Stegostoma tigrinum: one gene and its partner. The protein of the gene in region 1 interacts with the protein of each later gene in a biochemical or structural test. Links are inferred from orthologs where the notes say so. Each region holds a gene or a part of one and is shown in the gene's direction. Other genes may lie near its edges.

Evidence for each region. The genes of interacting proteins can lie anywhere in the genome.
Region 2: the proteins of topbp1 (region 1) and cell cycle checkpoint control protein RAD9A-like form a complex in vitro, tested with the Homo sapiens proteins (4 studies listed by BioGRID). The link is inferred for Stegostoma tigrinum from reciprocal best matches to the Homo sapiens genes TOPBP1 and RAD9A.

The regions. Positions count from the first base shown.
Region 1 is NC_081355.1:12,951,528-12,958,662, forward strand, and holds the start of topbp1 (DNA topoisomerase 2-binding protein 1), read left to right. Parts: upstream 1-4,126; 5' UTR 4,127-4,272; intron 4,273-4,312; exon of another isoform or gene 4,313-4,465; intron 4,466-4,471; exon of another isoform or gene 4,472-4,586; intron 4,587-6,533; 5' UTR 6,534-6,548; coding exon 6,549-6,638; intron 6,639-6,723; coding exon 6,724-6,858; intron 6,859-7,135. UniProt on the Homo sapiens protein: Scaffold protein that acts as a key protein-protein adapter in DNA replication and DNA repair. Composed of multiple BRCT domains, which specifically recognize and bind phosphorylated proteins, bringing proteins together into functional combinations.
Region 2 is NC_081399.1:1,879,439-1,886,731, forward strand, and holds the start of cell cycle checkpoint control protein RAD9A-like, read left to right. Parts: upstream 1-4,279; 5' UTR 4,280-4,293; coding exon 4,294-4,354; intron 4,355-6,131; coding exon 6,132-6,202; intron 6,203-7,293. UniProt on the Homo sapiens protein: Component of the 9-1-1 cell-cycle checkpoint response complex that plays a major role in DNA repair. The 9-1-1 complex is recruited to DNA lesion upon damage by the RAD17-replication factor C (RFC) clamp loader complex.

The DNA.
Region 1 (7,135 bases):
GAAACAAAACTCCAGTCTGGGAGGAAAGAACATCAAAGACAATTTTGAAAGACCTCCCAGCTTTTGGATGTAGCAAAGAGGTGTGGTGGCTTTTAACAAACCCAGCAGCTTCTGCTGAAAGCTAAACTAGAGATCCTGGTTCTGTGGGAGGCCCAAGGCCTTGTGCTGTTGACACATGGTTTTGGTGGACTGCTCAGAACTCTGTCTTAAAACCTCTTCCAAAAAAAAACCAGGACAAAATAACCCCTTAAATTCACACCATTATCGCATGCAGTATTTGTGGAGAGACAAGACGGTTAATGCTTTTGGGTCCAATATGACCTCAGTTCTGAAGAGTCAGTAGACTTGGAACGTTAACACTGTTTCTCTAGCCACAGATGCTGCCAGACCCGCTGAGTTTTCCAGCATTTTCTGTTTTTATCACTTGCACCTTGCAGTCTCCCTGTGTTTTTTTTTTAAATTTAAAACTTCCACAGTCAATTGGAAAGACAAGGTATTCAGCAAGCAGTTCACAGCTTTTCCCGTAGGTCAGCAAAACAAAATGACAATTCACTCCCAAGCATATCTTAGCAAGACACATGCTTCATTGATATGACTGAAATGTTTCACAAGCTGAATGGCTGAATAGTGATGGATTTTGTTTTGAAACCAAACTCATTGAGACCTAGCTTCTAATTCTTTTTAGCAAATTGAAAATTCTTCCCTTCTGACATTACTAATCATGTGCAAATATATTGAGAAATGTAATTTATGGAAGGGAAAGGCAGTAAGTTCTCATTTTCTTTGCATTTGAATGGTGGTCAGTGATGTTAACTAAACAGTTATGATGCCAACATGGCTAATTTGGGGAATTTATCCAAGAAACTTGGGACAACTTATTGGAAGCATGAATGCAATATTTAGGAGGAACTGCATGTAATTTACCATCTTTGCAACTGATTGAAATGAAGCAATCACTTCCAAGTGATTCTAGTTTGCTCAGTGAATGTGTGCTCTTTCTGCCACCTAGAGGAGGTGTTTTAAGCCATGTATTTTAGACCATCTCATGGCCAAACAGTATCTCCTGCTCTCAGTAAGTCTCTAACTTCCGCTTGTCTTATGACCTGCACCTTTTGACTTTAGCTTTTCCACTTTTAGCCTGCTGTGTTTCAATATCTCCAATAGAATGCCCTCTTGTGATTTGTTTTGCAATTTCTTCCTTTAAACATGAGAAGGTGTGTTTATATGCTCCTTTTTCTGGTGTTAGCCAGTTGCTGGTCTTTCACTTGATTGCCAACTCTATTTGAATGTTATTCATGGAGGTTACTTTATATGTATATGTCTGCATCTGCTCTAGCCAGCCTATACCTCCCACTTATCAATATGTTTATAACAAATGTTTCATAGTACTCACCAGACCAATAGGAAAAGAAAACTTATTTAAAGAGGAGTATAAATTTCAGCCAGAAAATGACTGAGTTACAGGTGCAGGGATATGGGGAAGAAGCAGAGGCTTAGCAATAAATTGTACAGCACATACAGGCAAAATGGGGCAATGGCCTCCTGTGCTGTATAGAGTCAGAGAATGTACAGCATGGAGATGGACAAGTTGGACTCAACAGTCTATGCCAACAAGGTCTCTTAAATTTAGTCTCATTTGTCCCATATCCCTCTGAACCCTTTTCTATTCATGTAGTTCATCTAGCCATCAAGATTCCTTGTAAATGTTGTCATTGTACCAGCCTCAATCCCTTCTTCTGGCAGCTTATTCCACATGTGACACCCTCTGCATGGAATATCCCTTTTAAATCTCTTCCCCCCTGCACCCCCCCCCCCCCCCTAACCTGTGTCCTCAAGTTTTGGAATCTGCTACCCTGGCTAGTAACCCTATGACTTTATAAACCTAAGGTCAGCACTCAACCTCAGTCACTCTGGGGTAGAAAAAGCCCCCAGCTTATTCAGCCTCCCTGCAGTTACAACCCTGGCAACAGCCTTGTAGATCTTTTCTGAACCCTTTCAAGTTTCACAACATCTGTCCTATAGGATGGAGACCAGAACTCAAGTCATAGATGTGCAGCACAGAAATGGACCCTCATCCATGCTAACCAGATATTCTAAATTAATCTTGTCCCATTTGCCACTATCATGATTTTGTGATAATATTCAAACTGTTTTGTTAATATTGTTTATTCTTGCCATGTGCCTTGTACTCATTTGGGGTTTTTGATTAAACAAAACACAGCTTTTTTTTTAGAATCCCTACTTTATGGAAACAGGCCCTTCAACTCCAGTCCACAGTGACTTTCTGAAGACCATTCCCCCCCCCCCATGACTCCTATGTTTGTCTGTTCTGTCCATGCGCGCCACCCCCCCCCCCCCCCCCCCCCCCCAAACCCGCTCTGCATTTCTCAGGACTGATCTATTTCATCTACACACCCCCAAACACTGAGGCAATTTAGCATGGTAAATCCATTTACCACATATCTTTGGACTGTGGGAGGAACTGGAGTACCCACAGGAAACCCACACAGACACAGGGAGAACGTCACCTGAGGCCAGAACCAAACCTAGGTCCCTGGTGCTGTGGGGCAACAGAACTGGCTACTGTGCTGCCCCTGATGACCAAGCTTCAAGACTTGAAAGAGATGAACCTACTCATGTGCCAAAACTAGATTTTTGAAAAACTTTTCACTGAGTTACTCATGAAAAGCTTTTGTCCAAACTTATTACTATGGAATTAGGGTGACGTGATTAATATGAACCTGCTGACAGAAGGCACCACTGTACGATGGGGAATCATCCTGTCCAAGTGGGCAGGGTAACATGATGGTACCTTTACTTTTCTTAGGATGTGTAAATAACCTTCTCAACAAGGTTAAAAGAAACCACAAGATTTTGCAGTTGACTGTATAGTTCATGCATCAAGGGGAAAAACTCAAGATTGTATCAATTCCTTGAAAGATGATTTGTTGGAATTGCAAAACTGGCAGGACTAATGGGAGAAAGTATTCTGTTCTGACACATTGCTTTATTGTATGTGTTTGTGAAATGAAAGGATCCATCAACAGGTATAAGTTCTGTAATCAAATTCTGCAATGAGTAGATGCGCAAACATATATGAAGGTTCATCTTAAAATCATTCTTCAACTATGGTTCTACATTTAGCATACGCTATCCTAAGCAAACAGGAGTTTTGGATTTCTGAGGACAAATCTTTGTTGTATTGTTAGAATCAGGACATTATACCTTACCCAATAATCCTGCAGTATGGCCAAAAGGTGTGGGATTCTTGTATAACGAGATTCAAGTGAGTGTAATGTAATTCAAAGATATGCTTTGCAAATTAAAGGAAATACACTAGTTTTACCAGTGGATCAAAAATTTTGAATGGTGGTCACTAGCGCAGAGGAGGAAGGAGTAGACTAACCATGATCTACAAAATATGGAATAGATACAGAGAATTGGCAGAACTAAGTAGGTGGTATTGAATAAGACATAAAGATAACAAGGTGTGGAGCTGGATGAACACAGCAGGCCCAGCAGCTTCTTAGGAGCACTTGAAAAATTAACTGTTTATCACTCCACATAGCTAACTCCTCACCCTTGTGTTATTTCGGATTTCCAGTATTCTTGAAGTATTTAACTTTTATTTAAGTATCTCGTGCCATCTGGCAATAACATGTTACAAAGCACAAACTGTCTTCCCGAGGGCACAATGAAAGCGGCCAAAGCAAATGGTCATAGCCCCCAAATTTAGGAGCTAAATAACACATTTTTCAAGACCCAAATTTGGATTATTTCCGTTCAAAGATTTTCACAGCCTGGATGACCAAATCAGCAGGTTGCGCCTAGCTTAGCCAGAGCTATGTACATAAATATTGGTGGATACTGGTCTGTGAACCACTCAAGATGAAGCAGAGGCTAACCCATTCACTCCCACGAATCAGACAAGTGAACCTTCTCGTCAACTTTTTCTGAAGCATTTACATTCTTTCCTATGTACACAGTACTCCAGATGTGGTGTCTCGGCTACAACATGTTGCCTCCTTAGCTACTTCCGGGGGGTTTGTTCTCAGTCACATGATCCCATTACGTTCCCAGTCTCCCGCCCTGATCGTCAGGACCCCTAAACCTTTTGCGTCCACAAATGTGCCTGAGGGCCTTTCAGTACTTGCTGAAATCACTCCGAGCGGGAAACGAGAATGTTTGTTTTGAAACATAAAGATTAAATTCATAAACAGCGATCAGTGTTTGGGGAAGCGTAGAGATGTGTTGGACCCGCGGCTCTTGATGGTGAGGCGGACAGGCGGCAGTTCTGGTTTCCCGGGTAACCGAGGTCGGCAGCTGGAGCCGGTCACCGGGGCCGCAGGAGGCGGAGGGAGGGAGGGCCCGGGAGAGGCGAGAAATTTTCCGGGAGAGGCCGGGGCCCCGCTTTGATGCCTCTTTTCCTGGAGCATCCGCCCTGGGAGTCCAGCAGCCGCTGTAGGTGGGTTCGAGTGAGCGGGGGCTGAGGGAACCCTGTTCTCATTCCCCGACATCCCCCCGCCATCTTAACTGCCACCAACTCTCCCAACATTTATCAGCTTTATGTTTTGCAATGAGACTGGGTAAGACTGAATAACTGATGCAATGTATCTGGGATAATGGGAACTGCAGATCCTGGAGAATCCAAGAAACAAAGTGTGGAGCTGCTGTGTTCATCCAGCTCCACGCTTTGTATCTTGCAATGTGCCAGGATCTTTTTGGAAGACCTGAGGTACTTTCTACCTTTACTGTGTTGACTCCTTGTGACTGAAGGAATTATTTTCCCAGTACTGTGAAGTCAGAAACAATGTGATATGCCATTACTGTAACAAATGACTGTCTTGTTTTGATCTGTGAACTAAATGTATAGTCTCCTATTTAGATCTTTCAGTCATATCAGCTTAATGAATAAGTGATAAAATATTCTACATTCTTTTTCAATCGTTGCAGCTTTATTGTCAAATGTATTTCTATGTGCATGTGTAAATTCAGTTATTTGGGGGGGCAGCACCATCCAGAGTGGCAGATCACTTTTGTAAAAAAAATCGTAAACCTAGAAGTAATCCAGCTTTGATGTGTAATATAAAGTTGAAAACAGATTCTGGTATGTGACTATCTGATGGTCACTCTACTTGTGTTTACGCATCAGTTAAACAGACTGCATCTACATAAAAGTGCTCTTGATGTCATTTGACTTTGTCACATTTGTAACCATTTCTGGAATTGACACTAAAGAGGCTTATTGTATACAGTTATTGTGCTAAATTTCCTTGAGTAACGGAAACTGACTGCATTCACTAATTGGTTTCAAGAATTGCTGACAGTAAAAATGTTTGCAGCTCATATTTCACGGTGAATGTCATATGGTTGGATATGTAACAATATGCTGTGAAATGTTTCCGACAGCTCCGGCACTACTGCTGAAATAACTGTGGGAGGTTGGGTATTCAGAGTTTTCAAAGGCTTCAAATGCATGGTATTTAAGCAAGATAGCAAGTAGTATTCAGAAAGTGCTTTATGCGTGAGTATATTTTTGTATTTGCTCTTATACAGGTTGTTTATTAAGCAGTTTTGATGTCTCTGACTATAAAGCTAATTGGTAATGTAGCTGTAGACTGAACACATGCCATTTCATTGAAGGATAAATAGAAATTTTGTGTACAAATCATCATTGTTGTGGCTGCACAGGACATTGGTTAGCTGCTTTTGGAATACTGTGTTCAGTTCTGGTCTCCCTGCAATAGGAAAGAGGTTCTGAAACTTGAAAGGGTTCAGTAAAGATTTACAAGATGTTACCAGGGTTGGTGGGTCTGAGCTATAGGGAGAGGCTGAATAGGCTGGGGCTATTTTCCCTGGAGCCTTGGATACTGAGGGATGACCTTATAGAAGTTTATAAAATCATGAGGATCATAGATAGGGTGAATACCCAAGGTCTTTTCCCCAGGATAGCAGAGTCCAAAACTAGAGGACATAGCTTTAAGGTGAGAGTGGAAAAATTTAAAAGGCACCAATGGGGCAACTTTTTCAAAATAAAACCGAAAGAACTGCGGATACTGTAAATCAGGAACAAAAACAAAGTTGCTGGAAAAGCTCAGCAGGTCTGGCAGCATCTGTGGAGGAGAAAACAGACTTTGTTTTCTCCTGGTGTTGTGTTAGTTACTTGAAGAGAAATTTAGCGATTCTGCAGACATTGATCTTTTAACAGAATTTGCTTAACATGGAACCAGAGGAAAATGTTGAATTATCTTGGCTTGCAAGCAGGACATAATGCCGAAGTTTATTTAATGCAAATTTTAATGCTTATATTTCCACAGTGTTCAGTGATATTCAAAGGTCAGATTTACTCTTAATTTGAAAGAGACAAAGGAAAACTTTCATTTATATAGAGTCTTTAATGACTTTAGAAGTATTAAAGTGGTTTGCAACCATTTAAATACTTTTGAATTATAGTCACTGTGGTAGTTTCCAAACAACTTTTTTGTCCTGATATTGAGAGACTTTAAATACCTTTTGACATTTCTTTTCTCCAGGTTTAGATTGTGAAAATGCCGAGCTCTGCAAAGCCTGAACCTTTTCTAGTGAAATTTATAAAAATGAAAGGGAACGATTCTGAATATTTCACAAAAGCGTATAAGGTTGGTTTATAAAATACCATTTAATGTTTAAACCTTTCTGACTTTTAACTTTATTCATTTCATACAACTTTTTTCTGATTTGCAGGCCATTAAAGAATTTAAATCTGAGGACTTCCTGCAGATTGTACATGAAGATGAAGTATTTAACTTGAAAGTAAAAGACAGCTCACTTTATATATGTGACCCATTTGAGGGAGATGCTTACAATCACCTGAAAAAGGTATGTAGTTTATTTTTTGCTCTTGTAGAATGTTTTTTTGATTTTGTTATATACTGCTTTTTGTCAAGTGTGGCCTGAACCCAAATAGAAAGCCCACTGCCACATCTGTCTGAACCAATGGTGGTACCACAAGACAGCAAAATTTAGCCCTCAAGCAGAGAACAATTGTGACCTGTACACCAGCTGCTAGAATTTATAATATGCAGCCATAAGATCTCGTGTTCAGTAGGTGAAGGGCTGTATAATTTAATGGATCACATTCAGATTACTAACTACC
Region 2 (7,293 bases), on another chromosome or scaffold:
CCATTAAGTCTGTGCCAGCTCAAACAACCACCTTTAAACTCTCTCATCCTTTATCCCAGCTCACGCCCGTAGTGTTGTCATCACAAGTGCACATCGAAATAGATTAGATGCCCTACTGTGTGGGTATAGGCCCTGCGGTCCAACAAGCCCACACTGCCCCTTGAAGCATCCCACCCAGCCCCATCCCCCTACAACCCACACACCCCTGAACACTCGGGGCAATTTGGCATGGCCGATCCACACAGCCTGCCCATCTTTGGACTGTGGGAAGAAATCGGAGCACCCGGAGGAAACCCACGCACACAGGGAGAATACGCAAACTCCACACAGACAGTTGCCCAAGGCTGGAATCGAACTCGGGTCCCTGGTGCTGTGAGGCTGCTGTGCTCACCACTGAGCCACCGTGCCACCCAGCTCTTCAACGTCCTGAGGATTTCTGCCCCTCCCACTCTTACAAGCAGTGAGTTCCCGATTCCCACCACATAACCCATTCGTTTATCTACCCAAACCGTTTGAGCTCCATCTCCAGCTCACATTTACTGCTCCCCAACTTCAGTAAACGAGCCAACTTTTTCCAAGCTGTTGTCAGTACTGAACCTGAAACCTCAACCCTGTCTCTCCCCCAAAGATGCTACCAGACCTGCAGACTTTCTGCAGCTGCTTCTACTTTTGTTTCAGGCTTACGCATCCATGATTCATTGTTTTATTTTGGTCAATATTTTAGACATTGTCAACATCTCCTCTCTGATCTTAAACTCTGCACCTTGGCTGATTAAAGGCATGTATCCTTTTTGCTTCTGAACCACTTTATCTAACTGTTCTGCCCCCATAAAGGACCAGAGTAAATTGTCGTCCCTCTGATCCTCAATTAATTGTGTATTCCCTAGCCTCATTTGTTCTACCCGAGTGCACCCCCTCAGGCATATCCAGAATGAATTGCATTTTCCACTGACCAGCCCATTGGACCGACCCGTCTATGTCCCCCCCGACATCTCAGGATAACCTCCTCACTCCTCACTATCCCATCCATTTTTTGTATCAACCTCCTACATTCAAGCGTAAATCATTTATATTTAACATTCAGCCCCTTCCCCAGCCTGTTACACAGGGGGACAGCAGGAGGCCATTCAGCCCCTTCCCCAGCCAGATACACAGGGGGGACAGCAGGAGGCCATTCAGCCCCTTCCCCAACCTGTTACACAGCGGAACAGCAGGAGGCCATTCAGCCCCTTCCCTGGCCTGTTACACAGGGGGACAGCAGGAGGCCATTCAGCCCCTTCCCCAGCCTGTTACACAGGGGGACAGCAGGAGGCCATTCAGCCCCTTCCACGGCCTGTTACACAGGGGGACAGCAGGAGGCCATCAGCCCCTTCCCCAGCCTGTTACACAGGGGGACAGCAGGAGGCCATGTAGCTGGTTCACAGCCAGTCTGTATCATAACACTCAACACACAGCTCAAGTCCATAACCGCTCGTCCACAACCGTCCCATAGCCCATGTCAGCAGTGACTCCATCCCAGCGCTCCAATTTACAATTGATTCTGTTGTCCTGTCCACTTCTCACAGTCCAGCCCCGACAGCTCCGAGGGGACGGACAAAGCTCTAGAAACCCATATGCCTTTTCCCCATCACTTGACTTCACCCAGATCTCTGACCCAGCCCCAGTTGCCCCATGGTGGCACCCCACAAAGAAAAGCCCTTGATGCAGACCTTTCCCCATCCCGAGGTTCCTCGCTGCATGAGGAGTTCGTGAGTTGTGTGTGATCTCCTGGTCCTTGATATGTAACAGTGTGCCAACATTCACACCACAAACACTTCCATCCAGAAGGACAAGGGGCAGCAGGTACATGGGACCCCCACCCCCTGCAAGTTCCCCTCAGAGCCACCCCTCATCCTGACTCGGAAATATACCCCCGTTCCTTCAGTGTCGCTGGGTCAGAATCCCTGGAATTCCCTCCCTAAGGAACACCCACGGACTGCAGCGGTTCAAGGCAGCTCACCCCCACCTTCTCAAGGGGGGCAACTAGGGACGGAGCAATAAATGCTGGGCCCAGACAGAGATGCCCATGCTCCTGAGTGACTACAAGCGAGAGTGTGGTAACCAATTGCTCAGGGATTGGATTCACACGGAGACAGGGAAAGCTGCATTATCTTCTGCTCCCATCTACTGGACAAAGCCCAGCACAGCATCTGGAAGTGGGCCCTTTCTCTTCAGAGCAGGTCAGAATGAGCAAAACCTGTTACCTCGGTCACTCCATCCCTCTGTCAAAGTAAACCTGACGGGGTGTGTTAATAGTGTAATGATGGAATCTATCAATGAGACAGCTTAAAAGGCAGGCACTGCCCAGAGCTAGGATGTCAGGCTGGTGCAATGCCAGTCACCATTTGAAACTGTAATGACACCAGCAGTTTTCAATCAAGATCAGAATCCCTGAACATGAGGTTCAGTATTCCACAAACATTTCACTTCGACACTCAGACTGGGCAAGTTACAGATTTGAGACAGAAACAGCAGGAGGATTAATACACCTCTAGTTATCACACTCTCTCAGGGAGATATCTGTACACTGACTTGTGTCTCTCAGTCCCCTCTCTCTCTCTCTCTCTTAGGGAGATATCTGTACACTGACTGGTGTCTCTCACTCCCCCCTCTCTCAGGGAGATATCTGTACACTGACTGGTGTCTCTCAGTCTCCCCTCTCTCAGGGAGATATCTGTACACTGACTGGTGTCTCTCAGTCCCCCCTCTCTCTCTCTCTCAGGGAGATATCTGTACACTGACTGGTGTCTCTCAGTAACCCCCTCTCTCTCTCAGGGAGATGTCTGTACACTGACTGGTGTCTCTCAGTAACCCCCTCTCTCTCTCAGGGAGATATCTGTACACTGACTGGTGTCTCTCAGTAACCCCCTCTCTCTCTCAGGGAGATGTCTGTACACTGACTGGTGTCTCTCAGTCCCCTCTCTCTCTCTCAGGGAGATATCTGTACACCGACTGGTGTCTCTCAGTCCCCTCTCTCTCTCTCAGGGAGATATCTGCACATTGAACGGCGTCTCTCAGTTCCCCCCGCTCTCTCTCTCTCTCTCTCTCTGTCTCTCAGGGAAATATCTGCACACTGACGAATGTCCCTTCTCTCTATGAAGACTAACCAACAGATACAGAGACAGGAACTGTGCACAGTGCTCCCAGTGTGGGTCAAACTGAGGGATATAGAGACTGGAACTGTGCACAGTGCTCCCAGTGTGGGTCTGACTGAGAGATATAGAGACTGGAACTGTGCACCGTGCTCCCAGTGTGGGACTAACTGAGGGACATAGAGACCGGAACTGTGCGCGGTGCTCCCAGTGTGGGTCTGACTGAGGGATATAGAGACTGGAACTGTGCACGGTGTGGTGTATTTGAGGAAACTAGAGAATCTATCGCTGTGCAGACTCTGACGGAAAATGCAATTTTGGGGGGAAATGATGGGAAATCCTGTTATGTCCATCGACACAGAGTGATGTGCCGGTGGAATTTACTCCGGAACATTAGATGTTTCAAGAAGGTGTTTGATGTATCTCTTGTGTCTCATGGTTTTGAGGGAAATGGGGGGTGGTAAACGTGAGCAGTCATGGAGCTTACTTCTCAGGCATGATCATATTGACTGGTGGAGGAGGTGTGATACACTGAGTGGCCTGTCTGTGTTGGTTCCTGCTATGTTTCAATGAAAGGTGGAAGCTAGGAAATGTTGTATCAGAGACAGTGGGAACTGCCGATGCTGGAGAATCTGAGATAACACGGTGTGGAACTGGTGGAACACAACAGGCCCAGCAGCATCAGAGGGGCAGGAAGGCTGACGTTTCGGGCCAAGACCTGAGATGTCAGCATTTGGGCTCCTGACATGCTGCTTGGGCCTGTGTTCCTCCAGCTCCACCCCTCGTTACCTAGAAAATGTTCTCCTGATGGACCCTATTACTTGCCTGGCCTATGGTGCAGAGTCAGTAAACTTGAAAGTATTGTATTTGTAGTTTTACTCAGCATTAAGGTGCTTTATCATGGTAGGAACTCGACGGGCCGAATGGCCAAATGATGAAACACAATTGCAGAGTGGTTCCCCCTTTTATGGAATTTTGGTCGACACCTTTTAAATCAAATCTTAGGGTGTGTCGGCTTTAAGAGCCTGCGGGGCGGGCGGGGCCTTTTAAATAGTGGCACATCCGGGTACTGGGCCTGCGGGGCGGATTTAGGTCCGGCCAATGGCAGGGCGTTTTGTTTGAGGATGAATTGTGGTGGGCTCAGCCAATAGGAGAGCGGTATATGGGAGAGGAAGCGTTCGGGTCGAGGATGCGGTTCGTGGTGACAGGCGGCAACGTGAGCGGTATGGCGGGGGGAGGGGAGACATAATCTTAACCCTTAGCCCCTCACCCCTCACCCTCTCACTGCCTCACGCTGACTCCTCCCACTGACCCCTCGCCCCCTCACCCTCTCACTGACTCCTCCCACTGACCCCTCACTGCCTTACCCTGACTCCTCCCACTGACCCCTCACTGCCTTACCCTGACTCGTCCCACTGACCTCACGCCCTTACCCTGACCCCTCCCACTGACCCCTGACCCCTCACTCCCTTACCCTGACTCGTCCCACTGACCTCACGCCCTTACCCTGACCCCTCCCACTGACCCCTGACCCCTCACTCCCTTACCCTGACACCTCCCACTGACCTCACGCCCTTACCCTGACCCCTCCCACTGACCCCTGACCCCTCACTCCCTTACCCTGACTCCTCCCACTGACCCTCACCCTGTCTGTCCCCTTTCCCTGAACCTAAGCCCCTCCCCCTCACTCCTCCTGACCCCTCAGTCCCCCTCCGCCCCGACCCCTCAGTCCCCCTCCGCCCTGACCCCTCAGTCCCCCTCCGCCCTGACCCCCCTGTCCCCCTCAGCCCCCCTCCGCCCCGACCCCTCAGCCCCCCTCCGCCCCGACCCCTCAGCCCCCCTCCGCCCCGACCCCTCAGCCCCCCTCCGCCCCGACCCCTCAGTCCCCCTCCGCCCCGACCCCTCAGTCCCCCTCCGCCCCGACCCCTCAGTCCCCCTCCGCCCTGACCCCTCAGTCCCCCTCAATCCCCCTCCGCCCTGACCCCTCAGTCCCTCTCAGCCCCCCTCCGCCCTGACCCCCCTGTCCCCCTCAGTCCCCCTCCGCCCCGACCCCTCAGTCCCCCTCCGCCCCGACCCCTCAGTCCCCCTCCGCCCCGACCCCTCAGTCCCCCTCCGCCCCGACCCCTCAGTCCCCCTCCGCCCCGACCCCTCAGTCCCCCTCCGCCCCGACCCCTCAGTCCCCCTCCGCCCCGACCCCTCAGTCCCCCTCAGTCCCCCTCCGCCCTGACCCCCCTGTCCCCCTCAGTCCCCCTCCGCCCCGACCCCTCAGTCCCCCTCCGCCCCGACCCCTCAGTCCCCCTCCGCCCCGACCCCTCAAGGTTTACACTGTTGCCTCATTGTCTACCCGCGAGACTGAAGTGCCAGCAATTGCAGAAATAAAACTCCAGAAGCCCTGCCGAGAGAGGCCACAAGGTCAGGTGTCGGTGACTGGGAACAAACACACAAATCGCTGGAAAAGCTCAGCAGATCTGACCGTGTCTATGTTCTTGTTTCTGAGGAAGAGTCACCGGATACTACAGCTTCACTGACGCTGCTGGACCTGCTGAGCTTTTCCAGCAATTTCTGATTATGTTCCCAGTAACTGACCCTCCGACAGCGCCCGCTCCCTCAGCACTGACCCCCCGACAGTGCCCGCTCCCTCAGCGCTGACGCCCCCGACAGTGCCCGCTCCCTCAGCGCTGACGCCCCCGACAGTGCCCGCTCCCTCAGCGCTGACGCCCCCGACAGTGCCCGCTCCCTCAGCGCTGACCCCTCCGACAGTGCCCGCTCCCTCAGCGCTGACCCCTCCGACAGTGCCCACTCCCTCAGCGCTGACCCCTCCGACAGTGCCCGCTCCCTCAGCACTGACCCTCCGACAGTGCCCGCTCCCTCAGCACGGACCCTCCGACAGTGTGGCGCTCCCTCAGCACTGAATAACATGCGCTGATGACTTACAGTGCTTAATTGGACGTAATGCTCTGTCATTGATAAACTTATTTTGTGAATATTTTCTGGATTTAGTTATTGGGAGAGCAATACACGCACTCTCGCGGATTGGTGAAGACTGTTACCTTGAGGCATTCGATGAAGGAGTGAGTATTATTGCATGGAAAGATGAAAGCAAGAAGTGGAGAGCTGACACACCAGTCAGTGTACAGATATCTCTCTGAGAGAGAGAGAGGGGACTGAGAGACACCAGTCAGTGTACAGATATCTCCCTGAGAGAGAGAGAGGGGACTGAGGGACACCAGTCAGTGTACAGATATCTCCCTGAGAGAGAGAGAGGGGACTGAGAGACACCAGCCAGTGTACAGATATCTCCCTGAGAGAGAGAGAGGGGGAACTGAGAGACACCAGTCAGTGTACAGATATCTCCCTGAGAGAGAGAGAGAGAGGGGGTACTGAGAGACACCAGTCAGTGTACAGATATCTCCCTGAGAGAGAGAGGGGGGACTGAGAGACACCAGTCAGTGTACAGATATCTCCCTGAGAGAGAGAGAGAGGGGACTGAGAGACACCAGTCAGTGTACAGATATCTCCCTGAGAGAGAGAGGGGGGACTGAGAGACACCAGTCATGGTACAGAAATCTCCCTGAGAGAGAGAGGGGGGACTGAGAGACACCAGTCATGGTACAGAAATCTCCCTGAGAGAGAGAGGGGGGACTGAGAGACTCCAGTCAGGTACAGATATCTCCCTGAGAGAGAGAGGGGACTGAGAGACACCAGTCAGTGTACAGATATCTCCCTGAGAGAGAGAGGGGGGACTGAGAGACACCAGTCAGTGTACAGATATCTCCCTGAGAGAGAGGGGGGACTGAGAGACACCAGTCAGTGTACAGATATCTCCCACAGAGAGAGAGAGGGGACTGAGAGACACCATTCAGTGTACAGATACCTCCCTGAGAGAGAGAGGGGGGACTGAGAGACACCAGTCAGTGTACAGATATCTCCCTGAGAGAGAGGGGACTGAGAGACACCAGTCAGTGTACAGATATCTCCCTGAGAGAGAGAGGGGGGGGACTGAGAGACACCAGTCAGTGTACAGATATCTTCCTGAGAGAGAGAGAGAGAGGGGGGAATGAGTGACATCAGTCAGTGTACAGATATCTTCCTGAGAGAGAGAGAGGGACTGAGAGACACCAGTCAGTGTACAGATATCTCCCTGAGAGAGAGAGAGGGACTG